Linked DNA regions of Alligator mississippiensis. The protein of the gene in region 2 purifies or fractionates together with the protein of the main gene of each other region. This does not show direct contact. Links are inferred from orthologs where the notes say so. Each region holds a gene or a part of one and is shown on either strand. Other genes may lie near its edges. The genes, in order: SLC12A4 and RAB6B.

Region 1 (15,987 bases), on a different chromosome or scaffold from region 2:
AGCATCCAAACTAGCTCATGCAGAGCTGGCTCAGTTATCGCTATACAGAACTATTGTGCTGTATAGACATACCTCAGATGACATTACAGATAAGCAGTTTGTCATGGTCCAAATTAATTATTTATTAAATGTTATTAATAACTCTAATAACTTATTAGGCAATTAAAAGCAAGTATTTCTCATCAGTGATTCAGTCTTTTCCCCCAAGGTAGTAGATTAAGTAAAAATGCCTTTAGATCAGCATTTGTGCAAAAGCCCACATGGACAAATACAGTTTGTAAGCATGCTTGCCAGCCTGTCCTCTCTGGAGGCACAGATTCATAACGGGTTGGAACCCCATTCAAGCAAGTTTCACAAATGCAATGAAAGCTATTATAGAACTAGCTTGTAAGCATAAACAAGGACTGGTAAAACCAAGGGTAGCAGCTGCCCAAACTAGGTCAGTGATACCAGGCTTATTAGTGTTTCAATTTCACAAAAAATGTCACTGGGTGATAAATAGCTTCGCACAGGACACATGGGTTGTAGGGGTGCACTGATAAAAGATTTTTTGGGGTAGATACCAATGGCTGATTATTGACCAGCAATATTGGCCAATACTGATCTGATTGCTAATATACAGCCCAGCAGCTTGGAGAGCAGGTTCCAGCTGATAAGCCTGTTGGGCAGAAGAGGCATGGGGGGGTGGGGCAAATTGCGGCTCCCCTAATGAAGGAAGAAGTGGGGCTAAGACAGGGACTGCACAACTGGCGCAGGGTACAGGGCAGAGCTGTGGGTGACTCGTCCAGTGGGGGGGGGGGGAGCAGCTTCCTGCACTGCACGCCCCCCATGGGAGGTATGGGGGGCACATGCCCTCTTGTGCGTGGGGCAAGTCAGGCTGCTGCTGCAGGCTCAGGGCCTGGGGCTGCGCCAGCCTCTTCCTGGCAGGGGGGCTGGGCTGGGGCTGCACTCAGGGCAGGTGGGGGCAGCGCAGGTAGCAGCGGTGGCACTGAGAGGTGGGGCTATGTGGGAGGCCACCCCAAAATTCACCGTAGCACCCCTCCCAGCACTGCCACCACCCACCATGAGTATATTTCTCGCCCAACCCCCTCCTGGGAAGAGGCCAGCACAGCCCCAGCCCTGAGCCTGCATCAGGTAGCCCGCCTGCACCCCATGCACAGATCCAGGGGGGCACATGTCCCCTATGCCTTGCCCTGGGGTGCACGCAGTGGCTGCATGCATGCTTATTGCATTTATCACAATATTATTGGCCACATCAGCCAAAAAAAGGTGACTGCTGATAATGTCTATTTTCCTTTTATCACTGCCAATACAATATGGACCAATGTATCAGTGCACCTTTAATAGATTGTCACACTTGAGTTGGCAGAGACCAAACACATGAGTGAAGTAAACAACCCAGTCTTCTAAAAATGAATAAAAATAATAATTCTGAAGACTGAAACTTAGGAAATCAATAATTTTTTGATCAGGCAGGCCACTCTCTTTAATTTAAATCAGGGCTGTCCAACTGATGTCCCACAGGCTGCATGAGACCAACAGGAGGTTAAATTGCAGCCCCTGGACTCCCACCTGGCCACCCTTCCTCCCCCCACCCCCTCCAAAGTTCCTGCAGCAAAACAGCTGGGGCTCTGGGCTCTCCCTCCCCCCACCTGGCTTCACTGACTGTCTGTGGCCAAGGGGCAGGGTGGAGCAACATATGGCATGGGTGAGCTGCCAGCTGAGGAGCTAAAGTGGGAGCCACAAGTGCACACAGTACATGGGGGGTGCTGTTCAGGCATGTACTGCGGTGGCAGGGATGGCAACCAGGTGTAGCAGGTGGGGGGGGGGAAGAGTTACAAATTTTATTTCAAGAATGAATAGGAAATGCACATATGGCATCTTCTGCTGACCCACAACTAGAACTTGCATCTTGATATCACTTTTTCCAAATAGAAAGTTTCATAATTAGTCATAAACTGTGACAATAAATAGTGTCTGCTCAACAAGCAGGGGTTTGTTTCATTTACATGTAAGCATTTATGCCAATTGTGAGGTTAAAAATATTAAATATGCAATTATTTAAATGTGCTACTTAAGTTGTGCTTTTATACAAGGTGGTAGTGTTGGAGTGATGTTATAGTCAGGGGATATGCAACAGAGGAAAGGACTTTTGTGGATATCTTTTTATACAGTTTTTATACAAAGTATTGTCAAGAAATACTAATGCTGAAGTTCTATGCCAGTCTAGTTTCTGTAATACTTTGGATGATAGTATATCATTTGAGATCGAGTATGAAACAAAATAAAAATATTCAAGAACAAAAACTCCCATGAAACAAAAAAACCCAGAAAGGTGTGGGGAGGGGGTGGATGTACAGAAATTAGGTTCCTCTGGAAACGGAAGGAAGTTGTCTTACCGCACAAGAAATAAATAAGTGTACTGGGGATAGTCTTAACTTGGAAGCTAGTATCTTCCTGATCATCATTCTAGTGGGCCCATCTGAGTTAGTACTGCTATGATAAACCTTATATTTGAGGAATCATACCATAACTCAGTTATTTCAAAGCCCTTAAATATGGCTTCCACTAGTAAGCTACAAAAATAACACGCTCAGTGAGATTCACAACAATAACTGCATCCAGTTTCACCACAGTAGCAATGGCAGTAGCATCAGTGGACCACATGGAGCAACCTGATACAGTGCCAGATCATTTGTCAGGCAACCCTTGCATATATTCACAAGTTGGCCATATAACACAGGGGGGGTTGGTTAGAATCACAAGCTAAAACTGCATATTTTGAATATGAAACTTCACAAAAGTTTACCTTATCTGGTGTCGAGTATCCCACCAACTGCCAGGCTCTTGCACACACACAATCATCAACTGCCATGGAACCCCCTGGAGCGTCGCCCGCGCGCCCTCTGCCTGCGCCGCGGTCCACGCAGGGCTGCCAACTCTCTCTGAATCTCTGCCGGGAGGTTTCATCACATTATATAAGGACCTTAATGCCTTTAGATCAGGAAGGCAAATGCACATTACTATTATATTTTAAAAACCTGCTGGACTACTATATAAATCAGATTCAACTTTAATATTTATTTTAATGAATGCCCTATCAGTTATTTCCCGGGTGACTCTCAGCAGTCTCCTGGAGATTTATATCCAATTCCTGGAGGGCTGGCAACCCTAGTTCCAAGCCTGCAGAACCACAGGTTTCTAGCTGGCACCACAGACCCATGTGGCACTGCCTGCCTTTAATAGGAGCTTCCCACTCTTTTCTGAATTCCCCCAAACTCGAGGTTTCCTCAATACTGGGGATTTCTTCTGGCCCCCTGCAGTAACAGAGGCATCAGGAACCAGAAATGAGACGAGAGGACTTGAGGGTCCTCCATGCCAGTGGTTGCGGGCCATGTTAGTGACACAGGGACCAGTCCCATGTGCCAGGATTGGGCCCTGCACCTCTTCCCTCATCCCCACTCTGCCAGCTAGATTGGAGCCCCAAGTCCTCAGCCCCACACTGCCAGATCAGGCCCACACTGCCTCCTTCAGTCCTAGTCGGGCCCCTTGCTGCCTCTCTCATCCTGGCTCCACCAGATCAGGGCCCAGGTCAGCATCTCCCTGGGGCCCATACTGCCTCCAGCCAGCCCCTGTGTGACCAGATCAGGTTTGGGCCACCCCTGCTTGCCAATCTAGCAATCTGTTATCTGGCCTGCAGGTCTCCCCAGACATCCAGAAATTTGGCAGCAAGGGAGCAGCAATTGCTGCCACTGCTCTCCTGCTGCCAAGTTTTCAGACCTGTGGGGGCCCCTGTATGCTGGATGACATGGCTCGGCAAACTCACCTGGCCCACAGGCCAGGGGTTGAGCACTCTGCTCTCAGCAATCAGGAAGTCATGAAACTTATCAGGAGACCAGTGAGAAAAGTGGATCTTTACTTCCCAGACCTTAATTGCCAGGGTGGAAAAGAAAAGCCTGCCTTTCTTGAAGCCTTCTGCCTGCTGTGGGTGCACAGGAAAGGAGTTTATGGGTCATCAGGAGTAGCAAAGCCATACATCTTTATGCGCCTGTGAACCAACCTGCATAATTAGTGTAAAGAAAGGTACAGCTCAACCAAAAAAACACAACTCAGTTACCAGAGTTGTGTCAGCCTCAAAGTAAAGCAATACAGTTGGCTACAAAATTCTGTGCTACAGTCTGAAAGGTAGCAAAAACAAACAAGGCCAGCTCACATCAGCTATATGATATCATGGAAGAGAGAGAGTTGGTTATTTTAAAAGCAATGTTGCTTTCACCGCTACTTTGAAAGTCACGTGCTCCTTCTATCTGTGGTATAAACCCATTCATTGACTTCAGTGGTAGTTTAATAGGACAAAAACTAGGCCACATGCACTCCTACCCAGGATGGTCAAATTACAGTAATTTATAGCAGTACCAGTGATCTTTCCTAATCCCTGCACAAAAGGGATCAGAAACTGATGGGTTGGTCCATCATGGGAAGAAGTTAGGACCTGAACTTTCCTACAATTTTTACTTCAACCTCCTAAATCAGATTAAAACAAAAGATCTATTTTCTACATTTTATATACTAGCCACCATACACCGGCTCATATTAGAGCACGCCTCTTCAACCTCGAATCCTAAAGTGCTAACAGCCATTAGGGGCCAGTTACTTAAGCTTGTGGTATGCGGAAGGATAAGCTTTAAACAGCACTTACCCTTTCTTCAATCCAAAAGACCTTTTCAGGACTGCAATAATTTATCAACTAGATGCTGCCCCACACTGAGCCAGCCACTGAGCAAGAGAAACTAAAAATTAAAATCCAGTAGAGAACTGGATGAAGGACTGAAGGAAGAGAAGAAGTTTTGCAAATGAGATACTGAGGTATAGAGTAATTCAGCCATGATTAAACAGGAAGCCTCTAGCTGAACCCAGTATTGAACCCAGATTTTGCAAATTACGCTTCCATCCCAACTACTATATTATGCTTTCCCCCTTACAGTGAGGGTCAAGGACCGAGAATGGTTGCAATGGCCTTTCAAGAGGGCAGCGTTCCTATTTAGAAGCCACCCCTCGAAGGCCTCGTGGTGAGATATGTCCAGTTCTTAAAAGCTTAATCCTGTGGGCAAGAATGGCTCATTAACATTGTCTTATAAAGCCTAAAATTATGTAAATTCTTCTTGTATCATGAAAAGTTTTTGAAAGAAGATACCCCTACTATGCTTGTGAAAAGATTTTTCTCCTGAGGGCTGAACTGACACAATAAACGAGTTGTTTAGAAGCAAAACTTGACCAGCACAGCTGTAGCAGGGAAAGAAAATACAACACTTACAGCTACAACTATTTCAGAATAATCCTGGAATGCCGACTTTATTCCTGAACTACTCTTCTTCATGAATCTCTGGCATTGATCACTTGAAATGCTACTTTTTAATTAAAATTCACAGTAGAACACCCGGAGGCTGAGCACTGACACGTGTCACCAGCTGAACAGTCGTCTCCATTAAAAAAGTTTTTCTCCCCACATGATCCTTTTACATTAAATACGTTAAAACCTACCAAGAAGCAGATATTCATAAAAGAAATGTAAAAACAACTCATGTACAATGCTAAAATGATTTAGTAAAGTATTGGCTAAATTGTTTAAGCACAGATTTTATATAAAACATAGCTGTCAGGACTGCAGACCAAAAGCATAAGAACTCAGTGAGGAAAAAAAAAAAAAATCAAACAGCAACCTATGATTATATTGCTTAGTGTTGTTTCACTATCATGAGTTTATTTAATTAAGAGAGCACTTCAAATATTTGCACAAACCTCTTATCAGTTGTCACATTTTTAAAAACAGCTTGCGTTCACAAATCACAACATCCTGCCACATCCAGGAACAACCAATACATGCCACTTCACTGTGTTTTGAAGCCTAACTCAAACTATCAACAAGTGATTCAGATATTAGACATTGTCTAGGTTTCTCTTTGGTTTTGTTTCAGCTGTAGGGCCATCAGAAGAACTGTTACTAAAATGACTTTTTTCTCAATTAAAAAGTGCGACTCAGATCAGCCAAGACAAATGTGTTGTCAAAGTGAGTGAGCATGAAGAACTTAGACATCACATCTGCCTTGTGTCTGCAAACAGACACAGAACAAAGAAAAACCACTATGACCAGAAATGCATGTGTCATCTGTCTTGATCTCTCATCATACCACTCCTTTAAAGACTAGGACTAAGAACAACAGCCCTTAGGCAAGATTTTTTCAAAGCACCAACCTCCCAGTAGCAGGCATTTTGCAGGCCTCAAGCTTGCCAACAGCAGAAAGGAGCATTTCAAAACTCAGGGATAAAGGTTGTAAGCTGCGTTGGTCTAAGTATACAAGCAGCCGGTGTGCTAGCTAGAGGCAATATCTTTTATTTATTAGGCCAACTAGAGAGTTGCAAACAGCATTTTTTTTCTTTGCAAGCTTTCGGGCACATTCACCCTTTCGCAGGCATTGGAGCATACAAAGATTGTAAACTTTCTCCCAGGTAGAAACTTATGAACACGAATTTTCTACTTGGGAGAAAGTTTACAATCTTTGCATTATCCGATGCCTGCGGCGGAAAGCTTGCACAGAGATTTTTTTTTTTCAACTCTCTAGCTGGTCTAATAAAAGCTGTCGCCTGGAGCCCGCCGGCTGCCTTCCAAAACTCGGAGGATTCAGCTTCGCTCGGCTCGGCTCGGCTCGGCTCGGCAGGACACGGGCAGGAGCCGAGTGAACTGCCCAGTCCCGGCGCGCCTCCGCCGCTCGGGCTCCTCTCGGCTCGCCGCAGCGCCCAGCCGTGCCGGGGCCGCCTCAGCCCGGCTCGCAGCCCGCGCCCGCCCGGCACGAGCGCAGGGGCAGGGGCAGGGTGCCCGCTCCACGCGGTGCCGCCGCGCTCGGTCGGGAAGCCGAGAGCCGCTTTCCCCAGGGGCGACACAAAGGGCGGTCGCGGGTCCCGGGATGCCTGGGCGGGCGCGGAGGGAGGGGAGCGGGACGGCACTGGACTCACCGTCCGAGCTGGCCGTGTCATAGGGGTCGGCAGCGCCCGGCGGGTCCCGGTAGTCCACCCAGCTCAGCCCCTCCAGGCTCGCATAGTCCACGCGGCGCTTGTCGTCCACCGGCACCACGGTGAAGTGCGGCATCGCGGCTCCCCCCGCGCCGTCTGCAGCCGCCCGGCCCGGCCCGGCCCCGCATTCCAGCCCCGTGCGCTCACTTCCTCCGGGAAACCCGGCCGCGGGCTCCACCTCCCGCCGGGGCGGCCCCCAGGCTGGGCACGGGGCTGCCAGGAGGGGGCTCGGCCCCGGGACAGCGCCTGGGCTGATAGGAGGATGGCGCTTCGCCCTCGGGCGGACACACAGCAGGTGGCAGAGCCCGCGGCAGAGCGGCGGGGCCTCTGACCTCCCCCTGGCCCAGGCGGCGGCTCTGCCACCGCCTCTGCCTGGGGCGGGGAGCTGCGCCCCTCCCTGAGCCCGACAGTCCAGGAGCGCGCATAACCCCCGCTGCTAGATCCAGGCCTTGGAGCGGCACCTCTCAGCGCAGCCCTCCAGAGACTCAAGCCTCCTTAGAAGATGCCAGCTCTTAGCTTCCCCCCCACCCCGCGTTTGGTGACATACACCCGGTCCATCCTTCTGGCAAAGAGCTCAGAAAGCCCACAGCAGGGCAGCTGGTCTTTGAGGCTGTGTGCGGATTCCTAGCTGAGCTCTCTGAGTTTATCCTACTCGCACCCTTAATGGGCCTAACATTGCATGGCACCCCACAGCACACTGGAGAAGATTGCAAAGTCCCCCTGGGTTCTGCAATACTCCAGTTGGAAATCACTGCTCCAGTGGCTCCATGTTAGGGTGGCCACCATAGAGGACATTCCGGTTTTCTGTTACTTTTTCATAGATTCATAGATGTTAGGGCTGGAAGAGACCTCAATAGATCATCGAGTCCAACCCCCTGCATAGGCAGGAAAGTGTGTTGGGTTCAAATGACCCCAGCCAGATGCCTATCTAACCTCCTCTTGAAGACCCCCAGGGTAGGGGAGAGCACCACCTCCCTTGGGAGCCCATTCCAGATTTTGGCCACTCTTAACTGTGAAGAAGTTCCTCCTAATGTCCAGTCTAAATCTGCTCTCTGCTAGCTTGTGGCCATTATTTCTTGTAACCCCCAGGGGCATCTTGGTGAGTAGAGCCTCATCAATTCCCTTCTGCGCCCACATGATGAACTTACAGGCAGCCACAAGGTCACCTCTCAACCTTCTCTTGTGGAGGCTGAAGAGGTCCAGGTGCCCCAGTCTCTCCTCGTAGGGCTTGGCCTGCAAGCCCTTAACCATATGAGTGGCCCATCTCTGGACTCTCTCCAGGTTATCCACATCCCTCTTGAAGTGTGCACCCAAAACTGGATGCAATATTCCAACTGCGGTTTGACCAGCGCCCAATAGAAAGGAAGTATCACCTCCTTGGTTCTGTTCATCATGCATCTGCTGATGCATGATAAAGTGCAGTTAGCTTTGCTGATGCCTTGGTCACACTGATGACTCGTGTTCATCTTGTCGTCCACCAGCAAGATGCCTTTTCGCTTCTGTGCTGCCAAGCAGGTAATTTCCTAGGCAGTAAGTGTGCTGGACATTTTTCCTCCCTAGGTGCAGCACTTTGCATTTCTCCTTGTTAAATTGCATTCTATTGTTTTCTGCCCATTTGTCCAACCTGTCCAGGTCTGCCTGTAGTTGTTCCCTGCCCTCCGGTGTGTCTACTTCTTCCCACAGTTTTGTATCATCCACAAACTTGGACAGAGTACACTTCACTCCCTCATCCAAGTCGCTGATGAAGACATTGAAGAGTATCAGTCCAAAGAACAAGCCCTGCAGGACCCCACTGCCCACGTCCTTCCAGGTCGATACTGCCCCGTCCACCACCACTCTCTGGGTACGACCCTCTAACCAATTTGCCACCCACCGGACTGTGTAATCATCCAAGCCACAGCCTCTTAATTTGCTCACCAGTATGGGGTGGGGTACCATATTGAAGACCTTCCTGAAGTCTAAGTAAATAATATCTACCCCACTCCTGCGTCCAGGTGTTTTGTAACCTGGTCATAAAAAGAGAGTGTGGGCGGATTGGGATAGGGCAGGGAGTCGGGATGGGCAGTATGGGGAAGTGGCTGTGGGAGTGGATTAAAGACGAGGGGCTCCAGGACATTTGGGAAGGGTCAGGGGTGTTTACTAGAGTGGATCCGGGAGGACGAGGTCAATCGAGGATCGATTTTGTGCTGGTGTCAGAGGGGTTGGAGATCCGCAGGAAACGACTGATTGACGTGAGTTTCTCAGATCATCGTGTGCTGTGGGTAGAGGTGGGCATCGGGCAGGGGCTCAAGCAGGGGAAAGGAGTCTAGAAACTAAATGCCTCTTTATTGGATGATCCCCAGGAATGCACTGCCTTCGAAAGTGCGTATCGCCAGTGGCAAACCTTGCAACCCTTTTTCCCAACCTGGTGGGACTGGTGGATTGAAATTAAGGGGTGCGTGCGAGAGTAGTTCGATGACGTGGGGAGGAGAAAGGCACAACGGAAAAAGAAGGAGCTGGTACGCTTGCAAGGAGAAGTTCAGAGATTGTGGGAACAGTTGAAGAAGGGGGAAGCAGTGAAGAGAGAATGGGAAAGGGCAAGAGAGGGGGTGAAAAAGTGGTTCCGCACCAGGATGAAAGAACGGATGCTCCTGGCCAAGGCGCAGTGGGTGGACGAGGGGGAGGAATGGGGAAGGTTTTTCACTTTACGAGTGAAAAGCAAAAAGCGGGTGATGGAGGTGGTTCGCATGGCCGATGGAGGAAGGGTGGAGGATGTAGAAGGGGTCTTGCGGGAGGTGACTAGATATTACAAGGACTTGTTTCATAGGAAAGCGGTGAGGCAGGAACAAGTGGAGGGACTGGTGCGGAGTTTGGAAAGAAAGGTGGGGGAGGAAGGGAGGGAGAGTCTGAGAAAGGAATTGACGGAAAGCGAAATACTGGGCGTCCTGAGATCGATGCCACTAAAGAAGACACTGGGAGGAGACGGGATCCCGGTGGAGTTCTACGGGAAGTTTTGGGACTTAGTGAAGGGGGATCTCTTGGCCCTTTCTAAGGAATTCATGGTGCGGGGTCAGGTAGGAGAGGGCTTTGACCAGGGTGTCGTGGTCCTGATTTACAAGAAAGGGGAACGGGAGCACATTAAGAACTGGAGGCCAATCACCTTGTTGAATGCCGATTATAAATTATTCACCAAGATCCTAGCAGCGAGGTTGGGGGCGGTGTTACCGCAGCTGCTGGGTGAGGAACAGATGTGCGCAGTGGGGGGGCAGCGAACGACACAAGCACTCTGGGTGCTTCGGGACATGCTGTCGTATGTCACAGAACGAAACTGGAACACGCTAGTGGTGAGTCTGGACCTGCAAAAGGCGTACGACAGCATTGGGCACAAGTTTCTGTTTCGGGTCCTGGAAGGGATGGGGATGCTGGGAGAATTTGTGGGGTGGGTGCGGGCACTTTATGGAAAGGCTACGAGCAGGGTGCTGGCGAGGGGTTTCCTGGGGGAAGCCTTTGCTGTGGACTCGGGGGTGAGACAGGGATACCCGCTATCGCCGGGGCTCTTTGTCTGCGCCATCGAGCCTCTGGCACAACGGATCAGGGGGGATAGGGTGATTAGCGGGGTGAGTGCCAAAGGGAGGGGAATTGAAAATCCTCCTATACATGGATGATGCGACGTGTGTAGTGAGGGACAAGGTGTCTCTGGGAAGAGCCTTGAAGCACGTAGACGAGTTTGGGGAGGCATCCGGAGCAAGACTGAACGTAGACAAGAGCGTAGTGCTTGCGGTAGGGAATTGGGGGGACTTGAGAAACCTTGGGCTACAGGTGGAAAGGGAGGAACTGAAGGTGCTTGGCGTCTGGATGGATATCCAGGGGAAAGGGAAACAGGCGTGGGAAGTGTTGGAGGGGAGAGTGAAGCAGATGGTGGGGTTGTGGAGCACACGGGGGTTATCGTTGAGGGGGAAAGTGCAAGCGATCAAACAGTGCTTGCTGCCACTAATCCTGTACACGGCGATGGTGTACCCCCCGTCCTGGCTACAGGCCCGGCAGGTCCAGCGGGCCTTGTGCCTTTTCTTTTGGGTGGGGAAGACCGAAAAAGTGGCTAGGACAGAGATATATAAGGATGAGGGATTGGGGGGATGGGGCTTTCCCAACATAGAGACCTTTGTTTACGTGCACTTTTTGAAGATGGTGGTGAGGGAAGCGAGGGGAGCAACGGGCACCGTGACCAATTTCTGCAGGTTCTGGGGGGGAAGGCTCCTGAGAAGGCTGGGCCTGTTTGGGAGTGTGTGGCAGGGAGCATGGGCTTGGCAGATGTCGCTGCCCTATGCCCGACTTGGAGCCTTTGTTGCGAAAGAAGGATTGGAGGGGTTAGGGATCGAGGGGCTGGGAGATGCCAAAAAGGTCTTCAATTTCCTGAGAGGGAAGCAGAGGATGTCGGATGTTGGGGATTTGAGACCGGAGCAAGTCAGCAGGGTGTGGAAAGGACTGGTGGGGAAGGAATGGAAAGGGGAGCATGAGGAGCTGGCGTGGAGGGCGGTGCGAAAAGCTCTGCCAGTGCGACAGGTGCTCTATCACTGGGGACTCTCTCGGTCCCCCAAGTGCCCAAGGGAGCTCTGCGATGAGCCCGGGACGGTGACACATGTACTGTGGGACTGTTCTTATGCACAACGGGTGTGGGGGAAGGTGACTACCTATTTGAAGGATACGGGAAAGGGAACGGGGGGTCACTTCCAGAAATGTTCTCTATGGTTTATCAGAGGGGACGGATGGGACGTGGGGGGTGCGGGTCTTAATCACCTGCACCAAAGTAGCACTATGGAAAGTACGCTCCTTGTTGGCTCTAAAGGGGTTGAGCTTTTCCACAACAGAGTGTCTGCAGTTAGCAATGCACGAGCTGCACTTCTATAGAGCTAGAGAAGGAAATACAAAAGAAGGAGGGGAGGAAAAATTCTGGCAAGAGCTGGACTTCAGGGGGTTGTTTCAGCCCCACACAGGTATAGGCTAAACTAAGAGTCAGCATTGTGAGTACAAAAGGCTGGCTAGGGTTGCACATGGGATAGGGACAACAAGAGACCTGTATTGCACACAATGTTCTTGCTTTCCTTTTTTTTTTTTTTTTTTTGGGGGGGGGGGGGGAGGACGTACAGGATGTCTAATACGACATGTGTAATATGTGTTAGATAGCCAATACTCAGGGATGTTGTATATACTGTGTACAAATGAGACGACGTGCAATATGATATCAATCCCAATGTTTTGTATTATGTTATTTGAAATGTTGTATTAGCCATTGTGAGGCCTCTGTCTGGGGTCGTTTTGAGTCTTTTGTTATAGTCTGGTTTTTCTAATAAAATGTTTACTAAAGGAAAAAAAAAAGTCATAAAAAGAGACTAGATTAGCCAGGCATGATCTACCTACTATGAATCCATGCTGGTTTCCCCTCAGCATAATTTTTCCTGCTTGGCTCTCACATAAAACTGCAGTAGTTTGCAAGATTATGTTTGTGTTTGAAAAGAAAATAAGAATAATCTCTATTTAAATTAAAATCCCAGAATAGCTAACTGACTACATATTCCAAAGATCTGCTGTTAAGGGACACTGTCATCTTAAAATTTGATGCATCTTTAAAAGGAATTTTAAAAAAGTTTCAAGTAGTATACCTCTTCCCATATTCTTCTCTTTATTTCTGTACTTCTGCAGTCATTTCTCAACATTATTCTGGTTTCATGTTGCACAAATGGCAAATTAAGTGAACCCAACTATATTCTAGAACAGAGCTGGAAGGGACCTCAGGAGATCATCTAGTCCAACTCCCTGCTCAAGGCAGGATTGCCCATGACTAGATCAACCCAGTTAAGTGCCTGTTTATCTTGTGCTTAAAAACGTCCAAGCATTCCACAACCTCTCTGGGTAGCCTCCAATGCTTAACCAGCCATAGAGAGACAGAGTTCTTCCTAATGTCCGGCCTCAGCTGCAGCAGCCCCATGGCATGACCCTGGTGACCTGTTTCCCCCTGACCCCCCAAAAATGCGACTGGGTGAGGAGCTATGCTTCTTGTGGCAAAAGTCCAGAGGGGGGGTGCCATTCTGCTTGACCCCCCACCCCCCAATGCACTATTAGGTATTGGTCTGTCTGGTTTCTATGGCTGGGCATCATGGGGCTGTGCCTGCTGTAGCAAAGACTCAGGGGAGGGCATTCTGGCATCCCCTCTAAGTTGGCATGGGGCTCAGTGCCTTGCTTATACCACCTAGTTACACTTCTGCATATACATAAAATGTTGCCAGATATACAAAACAGAGAAAACAAATTATTTTCTGTATCTTACGCTTTGATATTAGAACTATAAGAAGTTTTATTTTTGAAATTCTGTTCCTAAAATAGGGTCTGCATTTAAAATGCTATAATTAAACTTCAGAGTCAACACACTGGACATTCATATTTCTCTTGGCAAGTTATCTTTGAGCTTAAAAAGGCCGGATGCCTTTTTGGTTAAATTAATGCTTCCAGTTCTGCAAAACTCATGAGGTCAGCAAAAAAGAACAAGAGAAGCAGCTGTGAGGTTTACTATTCAGTGCTGGCTTGATCCAACCTGATTTTAGAGATTTATAACTAAAAAGACTTCCTAAGCAGGAAATTTGCCTGTGTATGTAAAGTAGCACGTAAATTCATGAGCCATGTAAATGGGTTTTTTTTATATTTCCTGCCAGCAGACAAAGAAAAAGTGCTTGGGCTCTACATAAGCCCATTGGTGAAAATAAACCTTCTGGCCGGAAGAGAGGGAGAAGGCCTATTTTAGGCATTTCCTGATCTTACAGGAATAAGTCATAGATTTTTTTAACTTGCCCTGCTTTCTGGAACAGAGTTTGCCATTAATAATAGAGTAATGTGTAGCTTCTCAAAAAAAGCAGAAATGGGAGACAGACATGAGGGAGAACTCTTTGTTCACAAGAGCTGAATAATAATTCCACTTTTAATTAGTTGGGATCTGAAATAAACAAGGAGGATACATGCTGCGGAGTGATTGTTGTCAGAAGGAATGCAGGCCTCTCAGTTCACTTAACACAAATTCACTGATGGACCACCTCTAGAGAAAGCCAGAACAATTACACCCCCCAGCTGAGATCAGACAGGTAGAAAGGCTTCTAAGACTTCAAAGTTTTATATAACCTAAAATGTATTTACATCTTTTCTTTTTGTTAATACATGACAGACTTATGTCTGCATTTGGGTTTGGGTGTTTTATTTGTTTAGCTGAGAAGTGTCCCCTGACATCCCCATTTGTGAGTTTATGAGTACAGTTTTGTTCTCTCATTTTAGAAGTAGTTACCTGCTGTATGTTGTCTACTCCCACTGAAGGCAGTAGGAGTTTTACCATCAGCTTGAATCAAAGTAGAGTTAGACCAAGAGTGAAAACTTTGAAAATCCATCCTTTCTTTAGTTTTAGAAAGACAGGTACTACAGTATCAAATTAGTACTCCATTTAGTTCCATAATCCATCTCTGCTACACCAGTTGCTCCAGGGGAAAACGGTCAAGAACCTAAAATGAAATGTGTCCAAAAAAGTCATATTAACCTTCTGAGATTAAATTATGTCTCTCATATCATACCTAAATACCAAATTTAGACAGTTATTTAACTATAATAATTTTCATTGAAAACTGGATAATCCCAAGAAAATGGATAGGATGATAACGGGATGTGGGGATTACTAAGAAACAAAAGCAGAATTTTATGGGGCAATGATTCCCAATGACTATCCTGTGCAGGTTCATGTTACTCTTCATGAAGGGTAGTTTGGCTTCCATTTAATATCATTAAGCTTGAAGTGGTCAGTCTAATTATTCTGTCCTAGAACAAGAAAAAGGAACTTCAGTAAGTGAGCTTCAAGCTTAATTGCAGCATGCTGTGTGTTCAGAAGGAGAAATCAAGAATAGGAGTTCCCTTCTCTTCCTCCAATTGTTTTGCTTCTGGAATTGAATTTGCAGGGAGCTGCCTTTCTTCAAATACCAAGCAGAAGATCTGGGCTACTGTTAGTTGCAGAACTTTGCAGAACCACACTTTATTTTTAGGAGTCATTAAGTACCTGGACTGAAATTCCTCCAGCTAAGAAAAGTTCTCCTCTCAGGCATATGCCAGCAAGTCCCACCCTCTTGAAAGGGAATTGCACCCACATATCTTAAGGGAATTTGGCCCTAGGAAACTATGCATGTTTATGGTGGCAAAGCTATTCTTTTTTTCTAAAGACAATGGCTATGTTTACTGTTTTGGGGCTGGTCAATAAGTAAAGATAAGAGCTTATTTGCCCAAAGCACCTTTATTGCATCATATTTAGATTGCAGGAGAAGAGCAATTTCAACCTACTTTTTCTCTTGGTTGTAAATACTAATTACTACTTACGGATTTTGTAAGTGGCTGTTACCTCTGGTGGTGGTAGTAATCATAAATGGTACACTTGTTCAACTGGTCTATAGTGGCAGTCTTCCATTTGCCACAGTCTAGGTTCCTTAATATTTCACAACATACCAAAAAGGTGCATGGGTTACCTGTCTGCTTGTATTAAGACATACTAGAGGCAAATATAAGCAGTCTGTGGTTGTATTTTCATTCATAATCATATCTGGAAACAAACTAAACAGTGAACATAGAAACAGGAAGACAGAACACATGCACAACCTACAAAACCACTAATATTTTGCTAATTTTCAAAGAAAGAGAAAAAGCTACAATTCTCAAACATACAGACAAAGCACTGGTTTCAATTGGAATTCAAATGGAATATGCAAATTAGATTAGGAAAATCAAATATTATTACACAGTGAAGGACCTGATCTCATAGATCTTGCATATATTCATAATACCAATGAAATCACTAGACTGAAGGTCAAGAAACACAATGCATATAGGGGACAAGTGAGAAAAATGATTGGAAGAAAAATATTTAGC
Region 2 (16,389 bases):
ACCAAGTGGTTACCAATACATCACTGTAGAAGTGCCTACTACACTGTTTTTCTTCATAGGTACCTTCAAAACAACCAGTGAGGCATGGGAACAGCAAATAGTACTTTGCACGGTGTCTCTAGTCTTATAAATCCTGCTCAGAAACAAATCATGGCACCAAACAATCAGCATGTTTCAGGCCATACTAGTATTCTGAGAGATACTCCTTCAGTTAGCAGTGCTGCAGGAGTGGTGCATAAGTATTGTAATACCCTCTCTGGAGAGATGTATCGCCCTGCTCTGTTCTCAGAGTTACAATACAACATGCACAATGTAAAAAATTAAAAAAAAAAAAAAAAATCACCCTCCCAACCCCTAATCCCACTGCTACTAATAACCACCCACCCCCCAGCTACAGAAAGTGGTGCTTTTTGACCTGTAACTAGCCAACCTGGTCATAGACACCACATATTCTTGCATCAATAGATCTGCTGTGAAAAATTATATGAATTCACTGTTTGGCTATTTACAAAAAAGCGGATCTATAACCCATTGCAGGAATTGCCCATTATCTGGAAAATTCAACACTTAGATGTTAAATTACCATGAAACTTCTCTGGAGATATATTGCACTAAGTGTCTTTGGAAAGGCGAATGGTTTATTTGTCATCTATACAACCGAATGAACAAAAATTAATTTACAGGACCTTGTCTAAGGGAAATGTTGAACTTGGAGGGACATGCAAGCTTGGTATCAACCAACTGACCCTTTCCCAAGCCTTATGCTTGCTTCCCCCATAGCCAACTTCATTCTTCAATCCATCTTATGTTGATTTGCATGGTCTTCACTGAAACTAATTCATGAAGTTAGAGACAATCGTCCTTATGCTGAACTCACAAAGCAAGGTTAGTTGAACTAAGACTGTCCTCAGAGCTAATTCAAGCAATTCTCACACTCAAACTGGTACACAACAGGTGCACACACTGGTCTCAAGGCAATAGGTCGGAAGGGGGTATTCTCCCATTGGAACCAACACACAAGCCTAGACAAAACAATGCATCCAGTAAGCCTGGATTTTCAAGATGCAGGAATTACTGATTTTATTATTTATTGTTTAAATTGCAATAGCCCCCAGAATCCCCAGTCATGGAGCAGGATTCCATTGTGCAAGGTGCTGTACAAATACCGAACAAAGTCTCTGCTCCAAAGGTCTTACAATCCAAGCATAAAAACAAGAAACAAGCAATAAATACCGACAAACAGGGAAGCATAACTAAAGCAATGGGACAATACTGGTCACCACAGCCCATTGGCAGCCAAGCTGTTTTTTTGTAGGCATTGGAAGACCAACCAGGTGTCTATATGTTTTAGGTTTGATTCTCCTTTTAGATGAGTGCAAATTAGTCACCAAAGTCAGAATGGCATGAAACTAGCGTGAAAGAAGAATAAAACCTACTGTATTAGACTGACTGAAATTTCCCTTGTCCCACCAGCATGTCAAGAAAGGCCCTCCAGCACTCTCATGGCAGAGCAGATGAGTGGGTGTGACAAAAGTCATCACAATTTTAATTTTATTTTTTTTCTTAAGGACCAGACCTGCTCCTGATATGTCACAGGGAGAATTGAAGAAATAACTGAAATTTCAGTTCAGCAGCAGCTCTGAAATATCAGAAAAGATAATTTCTTTTTCTTTTTTTTTAAAACTCCTGGCATGAAAATGTTCTGTTCAACCTAATTTTAATGCAATTTCTTAGTTGGTCTAATAAAAGGTATCATCTCTGAATCAAGAGTTTTAGAGTTTTGCATTTCTGTTCAACCCAAAGACATGCACACACTTTCTATCTCAAGGTCCTGGAAACATTTTAAAACATTCTGGTTTGTAACACTGAAATACATTTCAAAACAAGATATTCCTAATCAAAAAACTGAAAGTGGTTTCAGCTTTTTTCCCCCAGAGGCTGGAGATTTGTTTAAGCCTTTTTGTGAGCAGAAACAATTTGGTGAAAAGATCACAAACTCACAAAATGTATGAGCTAATCAAAACCCAGATTTTCAGTTAAATAGATTTCTGGCTTAAAAATCTGGCCTGGCTATTCCCCCAAGCACTATAACTAAGACAATCTAGTAACTCAGAAAAGTCTTCCAGTACTATGCACACATGATATCCAGCTCAGTTTCACCAGTATAACATCATTGACACCAGTGGGGCTCCTCCTGACATGCAGCCATGTAAAAGAACTCAGAATCCAGCTCAGCTCACCTAGCTTCTCATGACTGACAGCAGCATGGATCCAGCTGACCTGAAAAACTGGATGGGAACATTACTATAAATAAAAATCCAGTGGGAGGAAAACAAGTTAGCCTTGTTGTTGGATAAACCACTTTCATTCTCTGCCTATGGGTGCTCGTACATGCAATAACATCAGATCATAGGAAACAGTGGGCTGGTAGGATGCCCAAACCAGAGCCAGACTTAGGTCTTCTGAAGTGACCATAAGTCCTATATTGGGCTTTTTCACTAACAGAAGACACATTTCAGGTTTTCACTTCAGTGCTAAGATGCCCATAGCACCACTCGTCTGGGTGACAGTGGGCAGAAGGGTTATCACTAGTTGAAGAACCAGAGCTCTGTCCTTTGTCATTAAGAACCCAGGACACTTCAGCAGGGCAAGGATGCAGGCAGGATGCTACATTAGGGAGAAGAGGAGCAGTGACTTCTTTTGCAGGAGAAAAAATGAAGCCCCTTGCAAATAGCCATTGTCCCTTCTGGCTCCTACCCCATGTGGCTGTGTATTTCAAGTGCATCGGAGAGCCACCTCTGGTATCAGCTGCATGTCCTGGTAAAATTGAGTTCACACAGCTCCACAGCCGCCAATCGATACCACTTCAATCAGACTGTCTTCACTGCCTGGGGGGGAAATCTCCCCATTCTGGCTCTGGTGGGATGTGCCGGATTCAGTTTTATGCAAGAACTGACAGGGAGATTTTTAACCCTTCCTGCCTCTGTCAGGTATGCTGAGAAAGCAGCTAAGAGATCTACAATCATCCTCATCAAGCAGCTCCTATACAGTGGAAAGGTGAATGACAAGGAACTAGCATAAAATGAGGAGAAGCTGATGCAACTGCTTCAGATTCTCAAGGCTTTCTCTGTCTCACATCCAAGTGAGCTGGTTTATTTGCAGAGAGGGGATTTATCTTGAGAGAAAAATAATAGTGATCTGTACACAAAGGTGTGCACACGCATCTCGGGGAAGTGCCTGCAGCAACAGAACGTATCCTTTCTCTTCAGGAACCTTTCTGCTGAACACGCTCTTGATAAAAGGATGCCTGGGAGAGACAATGAGTAGCCTAAACTCTGAATAAAAGAGTAGGCCAAATAATGCAAATTGTTAGGTTCCTCTAATAAACTCTTACAGTTAGGAAATCTGCAGATCTGAACAGCAGAAACACTGCCATGATTTTGAGGAACCTCTTAAGAAAAAAAGGCAATTATGGAATCAAAGTGAAGTTTGCAAACGTTAATTTACCAAGCAGCCTCCGCCCTCCTCACTTGTATTCATCTTTTCTATAAAAGAAAACAAACACTGTATTGAAGAAGATAATCATGTGCTTCTCTGCACATCGGTATTTTGTTTCAAGCTGGTTAATATTACCAGTTGTAAATCAATATATGGTAAGAGCACTCCCACGACTTTTTCCCCCCCTCTAATGATGTAAAGCTGGGGAAATCAATAATGCTGGGGAGGTGAAAGGCAAGGTGATCAGATACCATGGTGATGGCAACCAGACAGACAAAATGCTAGCAGTATAAAAAGGACCGTTGTGATATGCAGATTATCAGCCTCAACATACCAGCTGTGAAGGTTTCTTCAGTGAACCTTTTCCCCCTCTTACAGACAAGCAACACCTTTCAAGGTAACGTTCTTCAGCTTCTGATCACAGGCTGCCTTTGTCTGGAAATGGCTCCGCACTGACTGAACGCAGCTTAATGAGCTTGCCCCCCACCCCGTTTCTTGGAAATTCCACTCTGGGGACATGGAGGGTGGGAAACGTTATTGAAAAGTGGTCCGGTTTCAATTATTGCTGGGCTTTTGACAGCAACCAACTGTGGGTTATCAGAGGGTTATTTGCTAGCCAGAAAGCAGCCAAATTGGCTAGTTTAGGATGTGGTATCTGCCATCAGAGGGAGAAATACTGGAGCCTACATACTGAGGGGAGTTATTTCACATGGAAGGGGGAGAATGAGCAAGGAGGTCTAGACAAGGCTTTCTCTTGGGGAAGAATATGTGGCTGGCTACTTTCTCTACTCAGTGGCCAAGGGCTAGCCCACTCAGAACAGCGTTGCTAATTAGAGGAGACAGGCTGTATTGTCAGCACCATGGATTGATTAGTGGAAAAACCTACAATTTCAGAGACTACAGTGGAATTTTTGACCGTCCACAGCATCGACATAACTCGGCACCCAGTCAAGTCAATGAATAAATGACCAGTGGCTTCAATAAGAGCAGAATTAAACCAGTGCTGAGCATTTGGAAAAATCCTGCCCTCTGGGTTTTCAGAGCTAGAGAGCTCAGACAACACGTCAATCTCAATTGCCCGGCCCCGGCCCCTGCCCCTAGGCTGGGAACATGCCCCTGAGCAAGGCAACTGAGTTGGAGCAAGCCAGGGAAGGACCATTTTAACAGCAGCATAAAAGTTGTCAGGAAAACAGCAGAAGTGTCAAGCTGTCTTTTCTTCTCAATTATCCGGCCAGCCACTATTGGGCAAGCAAAACATGGAAGCCCAGGGCAGGGAGGAGAGAATAATCAAAGGTTGTGAGCACTGACCAGCAGCTGGGGGGTTCTTGTTTTGATAAAGGCAAATAAGAGATTTGACAGTGGTTTTAAAATGCAGCTCTGTGTCTGTGCATGTGGAGCCAAGATCATTTGGTCCCTGCTCTATGTGACAGCATATTCATCCAGCACCTCCAAAAATAATTAAAACTGCTTAGCTCTGTGTAGCCTGTCACAGCACTCCTAGCTATGGCAGGCTGGGGAATTTGCCTGCAAAGCTACGGGGCTGTATCTCGTCTTCTATGGAGAAGTGCATGATACGCAGCTGCTGAGAAGTTGGTCTGCTTCCCTGCCCTTGCCTTTACCACAACCAGAAAGCTAATGGGTGGATTCTCCTGTGGGTATTTCTGTATGTCCTTCCCATGAACGCCTGTCTACCTGGGAATCCTGTATGCAGCTTCCATTAAAGAAGGTAGCTGAAGCTGAAGAAAGGGCATCCTCTGCACGAGGCTGCCCTTGGTAAGGAAGAGCTGACACAAAAAAAAGCAGCAAAGCAGGGAAGAGAGGAGGGCACTGCAGAACGGGCAGGGTGGACGGTCCAGCGATCTTTTGTTCCAGCACCCACGCCTGGAAAAGCCAAGCCCTGCCTTGAAGAGAAGGCAAATGGAGATGGTGCCAGCTGCCAGATCTGGACCAAAGAGCACCTTGCAGCAGATGCCAGGGGGGACCTCCGTGCCGCCCGCCTTCCCTCCCTGGTCAGAGAGGCTGCGAGACAGGCGCAGCACCGCTTTGCTTTGAAAGCCCCAGCAACCCGCAACAGAGAGCTGCAGGCTTGCGACCGACCGGGCTCTCGGCCGCCAGCAGCTCCCCGCTCCGGGCGGCTGTACGCCGGGCCACCCGGGACCTTATAAAATAATCACTGAGCCCCGCGACTTTCCGTGTTGTCGCCCCTTATAGTCTGCAACCAGGCGCCTTTCGGGGAGCCGCCCGCGGCGGGGAGGCAAGCAGGCGCGGCTCGGTCCTGGGGGTCCCGGGCGGGCTGCGCGGGACACTGCATCGCGTGCGGCTCCGGCTCCGGCTCCGGCTCGGGGGGCAGGCGGCGGGGCGCATCTGCGCGGCCGGCCCCCTCGGGACACCCACGGGGTGCTCGGGCGGCCCCAGCAGCGAGGCTGGCGCGGCTCGTGTCGCGCCGGGTCCGCATCCCGCGGGGTGCTCCCGGCTCCCCGGGGTGCCGCAGCCCCCGCCCCGCCGCAGCACTCACCGCTCTGCTCGCCCAGAAACACCAGCTTGAATTTCCGCAGCGGGTTGCCGAAGTCGCCGCCCGCAGACATGGTGCAGCCGGGGCGGGAACGGGGACGGGATGCAGCAGCGGCTGCGGCTCGGCCGGGGCCGTCCCGGGCGGGGATGCGGCGGCTCCGCCCGCACCCGCGCCTGCGCCGTGCACCGCCCTCGGGGGGGGAACGGGACCTGCCCAGCGCCCCCCGGCTCCGCTCCGCTCCGCCCCCCCCGGGACCAGCCGCCTGCCACGCGGTTCGCCACCCAGAGGGACGCGCCTTCCCGCCGGGGCTGCCCGAGGGCCGGGCCGCCAAGAGCAATGGGCCGAAGTCCTGGGGCCACGATGGACAGACCTTCCCGCTCCAGTTTGGCCTGCTCCTTTTGACCGCTTCGGACAAAGATGGACGGACGTTCCTGCTGGAGGTTGGCCCGCTCCTTTTGACGGCCTCAGACAAAGACCTAGGATAAAGATGGACAGAAATTCCTGCTGGAGGTTGGCTCACTTCTCTTGATGGCCTCAGACCAAGAAGGACAGATGTTCCCGCTGGAGGTTGGCCCACTACACTTGATGGCCTCGAACAAAGACCTGGGACCAAGATGGATAGATGTTTCAGCTGGAGTTTGCCCCATTCCTCTTGATGTCCTTGCACAAGGACATGGGACCAAGATGGATTCAGAGTGGGATTAAAAAAAAAAAAAAAAATGGCGTTGCTCTTGTCAAGACCCACGCCTGCCTGCCAGACCCGCAAGCTGCGATGAGACGGACATGGAAGAGCACAAGCAAAGATGGTTCATTCCTAGCTTCATCTTCTGTTCCCACTTCATGCCTATAATGAGTGACTGCAAGAAAGGAGAAAGAAAATAGTCTATCTCCCCACCTCAGCTCTTTCCCAGAAGCCATAGGATTCTCTCCAACAGAGTATTGTCAAGTGCTTTGTTCAGTGTAATCTCAAATGACTCCAGCAACGAGACTTCCACCATATCCCCTGGGAAGCTCTAACACAGTTTAATAGACCTCTCAGTTAGGAATTTTTCTCTTGATATTCAGACTATATTTCCTTTTGTTCAGCTTCATGCTATTATTCTTAATTAAATCTGGTAGGAGCATTGAAGTTTCTCCAGTACCTTACTGCTTACACCTCTCAAGTACTTGCAGACATCTATCAAAGCTCCCTCAGTCATCATTTAAATAGGCCCTTTTATTTAATGCATTAATCTTTCCTCACAAATTGGCTGCCACAGCCCCAGAATCCCAGTCCTGGTCTCAGAAGGCCAATCTCCTTTTTTCCATGATATGGCACCTCGGGTTTACAGGACAAATGTGCCCTGCCTCTATCATCATGCTATTGTTCATATTGAATTTTCTGCCCTCTCTCACAGTGAGATCCTTTAACCAGTTCTACTTGCTAGCTGGATTCCTCCAATGGAATATTAAGATTTGGGATTATTCTCCCCACTCTTCTGAAGTCAAATCTTTTCTTTCCTTTCATTTCTATACTTTATTTCAAATTCTGTAGGCTCCTTTCTGTTCCTCCCTTGTCCTCCTTTTGCCCGGTTTTGCTCCTAATGAAAGAACATTACAAATATCCCAACTGAAGTGGAAACTATTCCTGTATACTTCTTCCCACCCAGACGTATTTCTGCTTATTGTTATCCTGCACCTACATTTCTTCAGCCTGATTTTTCATTCAAGTGCCAAATTCATTCCCAAGCACAGTGTTAGTTATAGGGAACCACAGACTAACAATGTTCTTGAAATGGACATGCTTTTTGGGTTTTTTTTAAAGATGTTATAGGTTAAATGAAATCAAAAGCAAACAGGACGAGCCAATATATAAATCTCCAGAGATCAATGCTGCTAGATCACAGATTAATTTCAACCATCTTGTTTATTCACCATGGATGCACTTACAGTTTTCCTTACTTCAGTATTGCTTCCCTTACTTATCAGGGGTGGGATGACATTAAGTTGATTTAGAAGGGGAAAAACTGGCATGGGTTGGGACTCCACCAGTGACTGCTGCTCAAAGTAGCCCTTCTTTCCCACCATGACACGTGGTCGTATTAGGGCAGGACACCCCAGTGCCACCTAGCAAAGCAAGAGCAGTGTGGTGGTCAGAAGGAAGGGCTACCTACTGGTGTGATATCAGCAGACAGGGGTGACAGCTGCCCTATATCTCTCTTCACCAAGTGCCTTTATCAGTGGAACAAGGCTTTATTTTCAGACTAGTTAAACCAAGGCCAGGCTCATTGGTGTAGTAAGAGAAGTCATAGTTTAGAGATGCTTCTTAAAAGGAGGCTGAGGTAGTTAGGGATTGGGAAATGGTCCCTCAGTGAGGGAGCAGCTAGCAGTTAGTTCGAAAGAGACAAAGCCAGAGGTTGCCTACTGCTCCACAATTCAAGTGTATGGTTTAGTTCTTCTCCTTCACTGTATGCCTGTGCTTATTCCACCCAATTCTCACTACAGTTGGCTTGATTTTGCTGTGCCTCTTTGTTCACCCTGTCTACCAAGGAGAAAGGATAGGTACAGAAGCCAGGTCTCTAGAGCACTGGTCCAAGGTCAGGGTTGACGTGACCTTGGACTCTCTCATCTAAGATGCAACTCAGTCCTTCCCACTTATATTTTTTATCTCTTCAGCATAAGGACCATCTCAGCTGGGCATATGCATGGAACACAACAATATGGTCTTGATTTTGGTTGGGGCACATGCTCACTGCCATACCAGTAGGGCAAGGGCTCCAAATTGTGCACCAGGCCCACTGGAGTTTGGGAGCACAGGACAACATACTGCAAATTTTCTGTGCCTGTCCTTTCACAGCATCTGATGAAGCGAGTTTGGCCTCACAAAAGCTTATGCTATTTATGTGTGCATCTGTTCTAGTTAGTCTCTAAGGTGCAAATCTTTACCTTCAGCACACTGCAAGGGCACTTCCTGGAACCGACTGCTTAAGCCAACACATTAAGTCCTGAGGTTGTATGTGCCCTGTGAGGAAACAAGAATATCAAAGATCTCTGAAAACTATAGCACGGGGGCCTGTTTAGTGCCCTCAGGGGATATGAGCATAACTCTGCTGGGAAAGAAAGCCAGACCATTTTTATCCATCAAAAGATGTCTATGTGGCTGATTGTGAAACTCCACTTGTCTACTGTGCTCTTTTAACCCACAGGCTGGTTTTGCTGCATCCAGCCTACGTGATGCAATGGATGCAACAAGGTGTTCTTAAGACACACAACTTCAGTCCAAATGCTCCATGCTGGCTCCAGAGAGGAATCACATTTGCATCTCCATGTTCACGTCAAGACCAATGTTGCATGGAGGCTGAAAACATTGTTGAAAGCACTCGTTAAAAAGGCATGCACCTTATTTGCATGCCAAAAGCCATCACCCTCTAAGGTCCTTTGCTGTTGACACAGCTGGATGCAAGACCAAAAAGGCAACATTACCAGAAACAGTAAAACTTGTCAATAAGAGATCGTTAAAGAAACAGCAGCTGGAGACCGTCAAAATAATACAACAGCAATCCATTCAGTGACTAACAAGATCTATGGACCAACTGGTTAAAAAAAAAAAAAAAGTAATAAAAGCCACACACACTAAATAAGAAACATTTTTAAGGGAGTAAAAATTAAAGACTACATTGCTCCAGTAAAGCCATACCACCATTTTCCTTGTTGCGGGGTCTCTGAATGAACAGAGTGACTGCATTGTATATACTTTTAATGGACTGATTTCTGGATGCAAGCGTAACCCACTGGTAAGTAATGGCTCTTTGTGCTTAATCTACAGAGACTCTGCAGGTAGAGGGGCTTGGCTCTTTAGTTCAAGCTATAATAGCTCATGCTTTACCTCTGAAGGTCCCTAGTATGCTGGGCAAGATGGCAACTATCATCTCACATACAAATGAAGGCAAAGCACAAACAGCACCAGCTGGAAAAGGGCATCTTCAGTTTTTTTCCCTCTCTGCCCGAGAAAGTCCTTCACTTCTTTCTCCCACACTTCAAGGAATGTTCATCCAAGCACCACCCCCCCCACAGTTCTTTTTGGATCAAGTACTACTGGAAAGACTTCCCCTTAAGGCCAACAGGACCATCCCTTCACTGGGGATAAAGGTGGGTGAGGCACAGGACATGCTTCTCCATAGTCCTTTGCTCTTAGACTTCTTGAGCTTGGGCTGAGTTCATGGGTTACTGATCCGTGAACTTGCTCATCATGCACCACAACAGCTATAAGCAAGTATTAGTGTATGAGGATATGCAGCAAGGTTTAATAAAGATGACACACACTAGCTTGGGACTCAGGATACTTGAGCATTATTCCTAGCTCTGCCACTGTGCTCTGTCAAGGAAGCATATTCTCCAGGCCTGTGCCATTTCTCCTTCCACTTTTGGTCTAGTTAGGAAAGATGGGCAAAAACTCTTCCCTCCAGAGAGTTTAAAATGTACATATACAGCACCTGGCACAACACAGTCCCAATCTTGAGACACCTAAAGGCTCTAGTTATTAACATAAATAGCAATAAATCCCCAGGTAAGGTCAGGATAGTGAACAGAGCATGAAGTGGCTGCTAACCTTCATAACTGTAGGAATCATGAAGAACGGGGTATCACAGGACTTTGAAAATCCTAGCCTTCAGAATGAAAGCCAGCTCTGGGGAGTTTTAAAATAAGCAGAAACCACAGTTATGACAGCTGGGTAGTGAAATCCCCAAGCTTGCTATGCAAATATCTACCAGGGTCTGTCTTATATATTTAATATGTGCTTAATGGGTTTTAATCCCTTTTCCTTCATCTCCAGGCTTTCTCTGCCAAGAGGCAAGGAAGGAACACAGGTGTCTGGAAACCACTCCTTCATGGTATTTAAGCAGCTCCTCTTGGGACCAGACAGGCTCTAGTGTAGTAGCATAAATGCAGGTGTGAGAGTGGGGCACAAGTCCCTGCCTAAAAGGGAAAAACATGCCAGAATGTACAGGGGGAGGAGGTCCTGCCCCCTGCTCCACCTGCACTTTCCAAATCTAGCCCAAAATGTTTCGGCATCAGTGCAGAAGTGTGTCTTAATGAGCATGTCTCATTCTGCGAAGTGAAGTTGTGGAGCAGCGAACTCCATTACCACTCTAAGGGTGGGGGTAATGTCACCCTTTTTTTGCCACCAAAACAAGGAAGGTTTTTTTGCCTACTCAACATGGGCATCTGCTGCAGCAAACTTCAGCTGCAGCTCCCATGCACTGCCCATGGCCAGAGCTTCTAGAGGCAGAAGGTACCAGGGAGCAGGGGGAAAGGAAAAGGAGAAGGGAAGACTGCTTCATGCACAGTCCTGGACAGTTAAGCCTTTGCCACCATGGCACCCATAAGACTTACTTGCCCCAAGCATGGTACTGGGTTCAGTGTTGTTACCAAGGTTAGTTCTACAGCACCAGGTTTCCCACTAGAGTCTAGGAGCTTGATTCACAAAGGTATGTAGATGCGGAACTAATATGTAGACACACACCTTGTCTTAAAAACAGAAATAAATACAATCAGAGGTCAGTTTGGCACCTGAGTACCTTTGTAAAACTGGGCCTAGGTTTTGGCCTACAAGTGGGGCCAGAGAGGAGCTTTCTCTTACTAGTGAAAAAAGAAGGTTTCAGTTAAGAATGCCTGATATGATGTAGCTATGTTACAGGACTCCACACATCTGGCAAGCGCTGGCTGCTGTTTTTAGATCACGGTTTCCTCAAATACCAAACAACCTCATTATACCCATTGTACGGGTGGGAAACTGTGAAGCACGGTGAGGGGTCTAGTGTGAAGCCCCTAAATCGGTGACAAATCCAGAATTCCAACAAGGCCTTTTGACCCCCACTTCTGTGCTTTACCACTAGGTCACTGGCCAGCAAGGGGACCAGTCTACCACATGACATAGGAATTGCAGAGAGAACCATGGGCAGTCAAACACAATTCCTTGAGTAGAAATTGGACTGGGGCTCTCCTCTTCTGACTCCTGCTCTTGAAGAAAGTTCACAGAGCTTTTTAGAGCCACCTTTGGAAGAGAAGACACCTTGTGTCCATGTGCTAAAGGAGCCATGCACCTCCATTTCACATGTAATCACCTCTGTGTGTGCCATATGGGCGAGTGCATCCAAGCACTTCTGCACATTTGTCCAAGTGGCCATGTGACATTATGTCTGTGGTGTTAGAACTGTGGCCCTTAATGACCATAAGACATGAAGTCTTGCCCATGATGCAGCATCTGCCAGTGTCTGGCACTGTAGCAGCCAGCACCACCCAGTCTGATAAACCAACTGGGATGTGTCAGGTGGGTCATGTGCAGGAATTAGCAAACTGGCTAAAAGAGACAGAGAGAGAGCAGAGCCTTATTTAAGCCCACCTGCTTGTTCTTTCACACCCTATGGTAACCAATGCCCATATAAAATGCATTTTATTCAATAAAATAATGCAATAAAATTTCCTTTTATTATATAAAAGGAAACCCAAAAAAGTCAAAGGTACTTATCAGCTTCTCTGAGGCAAACTTGCCAGTGTCAGCACTATCCCCTGCCCCCCACCTAACCCTGTACATGAACCCCTCACGAAGCGTGAAGTGCCTTGTCACTAAGTTTTTTGCCTCAAAAGGAATAATGTACCTTGATTATTCAGAGCAACAAATCCCATCATTGAAAGTTGCATTTTGCATCTCTCACACACTAGTCCCAAACTAGTCACTCCCAGGCCCTTTTGTGGATGCAATTTGCCAAACTAGAATAAAGACTAATTCTGTAACCATGCAATCAGGAGGGAATCATTCAATACACTCCAATGGTTGGATGGTATTGGCTTCCCCAGTCATTATTTTTGTTGTGTCATAGAAGTTACCCATTTCAAGAGATCTTCACAGCTTATGATCTCCGTATCTATGTGCAAAGACACGGCACCAACTATCCAAAACACATCACAAGGTAAACAGACTCCATCTGTTGCATTTCCAGTTCACCCAGACCTGGAAAGGCTCATGACAATGAACACACCAGTCTCCATGTTGGAGAATTCAGGAATTGAAATAGGTTCTCATGGTTGGAGACCATAGAAGTTTAATTCCTTCAGATGCATCCATATCTTAAAACAATTCTTTTTGGAATAGAGTCACCATCTCAGCCAAGGCCATGACACAGACTATAATCTGCATGTGAGAGAAGACTTCCTGAGGAAACCTTTGTCTACCACAGAAGTCACAGTCTTGGCTGACTTGCATTCATGCTCTCCAAAGAGTTTTCCTGTTGGGTTCTTGCATTCAGAGACTGCTAGTTATTTTACTAGTGAAGCTGCATCCCTTCTTACTGTCTTTCAAGCTTTAGATCAGTGTTTTTCAAACTTTACTAACTGCCAATACTAGTTTGTTTTTCTTTACTTTATTCAGTCCTTATCAGCTCCCCCTTTCATCAACCAACCTAAGCCATCTTGAGCACATTGGTAGCCTCGCAGCAGCCTGGCAAGTAGGACACCATAACAGCTGTTTTATAGAGGAGAGATGGAGCACTACAGCTCTGATCTTCAAATACACAGCCTAACTGCATCACAGGAGGCAGAGCTGAACCTGGAATTGAACCTGGGTCTCTCAGTCCCACGATACACACAGAGCACCTTCCGTTGCTACTGTTAGTCTCAAAAACAATCAAAATGACACTGGCACCAGGATTGTTCCTCCTCTGAGCAGTGCTCCAGATCCAAGTGCCAGGAGGGCTTCCATTTGCTTGCTTTTGAAGCTGACAGCTAATGCTTATGCCAGAAAGCCCCTTGCTAACCACACTAGGGCTACAACCACAAAGGAGTCACAGTGCCACAAGAAAAACAGGCGCTGTGACTCCTTTGTGGTTGTACCACAAAACAGCATGCCACTGTCAGATGGGAAGGCATGAAGCAAGGGATCTAGATCTACATCTGGGCATCTATTCCAACAGACTGTTTTCAGAGATGGGGGGTGGGAAGCAATGAATAGAGGTCTACTAGCCTCTGGAGACCAAGACAACCCACCCTTTTGGCACCACTCTATGGCAGAACCAAGAGCTGCTCTTGTATAGGGCACAAATGGAAATGCAGATGATACTAGGATACTAAAGACACCCACCTGGGAACACAGAAGAGATGGGGCTGCTCTTGGAGACCAATAGACAAGAGTGGTTTGAAAATGAGTTCATAACCTGGATTGTGGAAGTGCAACATTGACAAGGTGCAGGTGTCTGTGGGTCTTGTCACACATTATATAGATTGTAGCAAGCATTGCCATGCAACTGCTCAGAAAAACTTTCTAACTCACAGTAATGCTTACCATGATCTATACAAGAACACGTCCCAAGTGCTGGAGCCATTGAAGACTCCATTCCAGGGTGCTGCAGGGCCTGGGAGCAAGGACAGATCTATATCCGTCCCAGCCCCTGCATGGTGCAGGAGCCATTTCAAGGCTCCAGTATGGTGCTGGGAGTGACAAACAGCCATTAGTCGTTCCCAGCCTCCCAACCACATTGGAGTCCCTTTATTGTATTACCTCTGTGGAGCAGTCAGATGTTAGTATGGTCGGCAACGTGATCTGGAGATACACCTCATCAGAGAGGGCCTAACGTTGCAAAACTATGATGGCATTTAGCATGTGTTTTACTTCTATATTTTAAGTGTAGTTAACATGTTTTAAGTGTGACATGGTCCTATACCACTGTTTAGTCTAGCTTGGATGCTATAGCATTACATCTGTGCCCAAAACAACACAATATAGAAGGATAAAAACACAAGACAGGGTCTCAGGGGCAAGCAAAAACTCCTTCCCTTCCTCCCTCCCTCCCTCCCGCCCCTCCCCCCCCAGTTTGACATAGAAAGGGGGAGGTGAGGCAGTAGTATGGACTTCTCCACAGTGGCTGCTTACACAGGTATAACCATTCTTTATACCAAATGGAAACAAGAAGCAAACAAGCAAAAATAAGCTCCTATTCAGAATAAGTGTTTCAAATAGTGCTGGAAAAATACTGCACTGAAAAACAGAGGTCAAGCTATGCAGGTGTACATTATACCAGTGTATGTTCTATCTGTCTGCTTCCTGTCCCAGGTAGGCTTGGGACAACATGCCTGTTATCTAGTGGCAAGATGCTGTAACAGCACCTACTGCAAGCAGCTACCCTGGAACAGCTGCTCTGGTTCCTGGCCATAATTCACATCAGCGTACAAAGCCACAGTGAGTTACTCTGGTGTAACTGTCCCATCTGTCCAGGCTCAGTGTCTAGTTTCTGCTTCCTTCCCTGGGGACAGGCTTGTGTTAGAGGCCGTCTCCTGGTCTTTGCTCAGAGGGGCAGCTGGTCACAGGTCTTATGCTTGCCTCAGCTCTTTCAGTCCGCAGTAAACAATAACTCTGACAGCTGGCTTCTGCCCAAGCCACCAAAAGCTCTCAGCACAGTCACTCAGCACTAACAATGCTGGCTCCCAGGAATAGCAGCTCCTATTTTCTGCCCTGATCCCATGCTATGTGCTGTCCCAGTGAGAGGAACCATCACGTGCATGAACCTAGGGCAGGCCTAGAACTGGCTTAGCCAGCTACACAGACCTTCCCAGGACTATGGGACTCCCCTGGGCACATAGATGGGCATCAGGGTTGCCCCTCACATCTGAGTGCCCATTCTATGGGTTGGGGAAAGAGTCTTTCACAGGCCAGGCTATCACACTAGTGGGGCAGGCCCAGCCAGTAGCCCATCACAGCCCAGACAGGTAGGGTGGAGAAATCCCCCCTCTCCTCAACACACACAGGTTAGGAGGCATAAGAGGTCTTGAGACTCTACCAAGCATGCCCCCAGTCCCCTGAAGTCAAGTCTTCCAGCCAACCTTACTCATCTCAAACACCTTGGATGACTTCACACCACCACGCCTGTAACCCAGCCAGAGCCATCTCCCTCTACTCTCACAGTTGCTTGCTGGGATGCAAAACAGTCCTTCCAGGTCCCTGACTGCACCAGCCTAGATCTGTCCTCCTTTTATCCTCCTGCTGTAGCATTGACCCTGATTGCTTATCAGCAATACCTTAAGCTCTGCAGAGTCCTAGCTTCCCAGGTCTCCCACTAATTCTGTCCCTGCTGGCTGAGGTTTATAGACCCCCATCCCAGACAGCATAGGGTGGTGAAAAGATGGCTATCTCACAATGTAAGGGACATGCTCTGGCTTAGCTGGTGCTCCAGTGGTTCTTGCTTAGAAAATGGCTCCTTGGGAAAGGTTGCAGTCAGGCATTAATTAGAGCGATTCAGGGGCTACTCTAATGTATACCAAGGGCCAAATCTTCTCCCATCTCCATCCCTACCTCAGCTGTGCTACTGCACCCATTTGTTTTTATGATTGCACATCCTGATGACTGAGGC

Evidence for each region.
Region 1: the proteins of RAB6B (region 2) and SLC12A4 purify together in Homo sapiens (co-immunoprecipitation; 3 studies listed by BioGRID and IntAct, with this or other methods). This does not show direct contact. The link is inferred for Alligator mississippiensis from reciprocal best matches to the Homo sapiens genes RAB6B and SLC12A4.

The regions. Positions count from the first base shown.
Region 1 is NC_081833.1:45,498,398-45,514,384, reverse strand, and holds the start of SLC12A4 (solute carrier family 12 member 4), read right to left. Parts: upstream 7,220-15,987; 5' UTR 7,145-7,219; coding exon 7,012-7,144; intron 1-7,011. UniProt on the Homo sapiens protein: Mediates electroneutral potassium-chloride cotransport when activated by cell swelling. May contribute to cell volume homeostasis in single cells. May be involved in the regulation of basolateral Cl(-) exit in NaCl absorbing epithelia.
Region 2 is NC_081830.1:30,389,636-30,406,024, forward strand, and holds the start of RAB6B (ras-related protein Rab-6B), read right to left. Parts: upstream 6,170-16,389; 5' UTR 6,084-6,169; coding exon 6,014-6,083; intron 1-6,013. UniProt on the Homo sapiens protein: The small GTPases Rab are key regulators of intracellular membrane trafficking, from the formation of transport vesicles to their fusion with membranes. Rabs cycle between active GTP-bound and inactive GDP-bound states.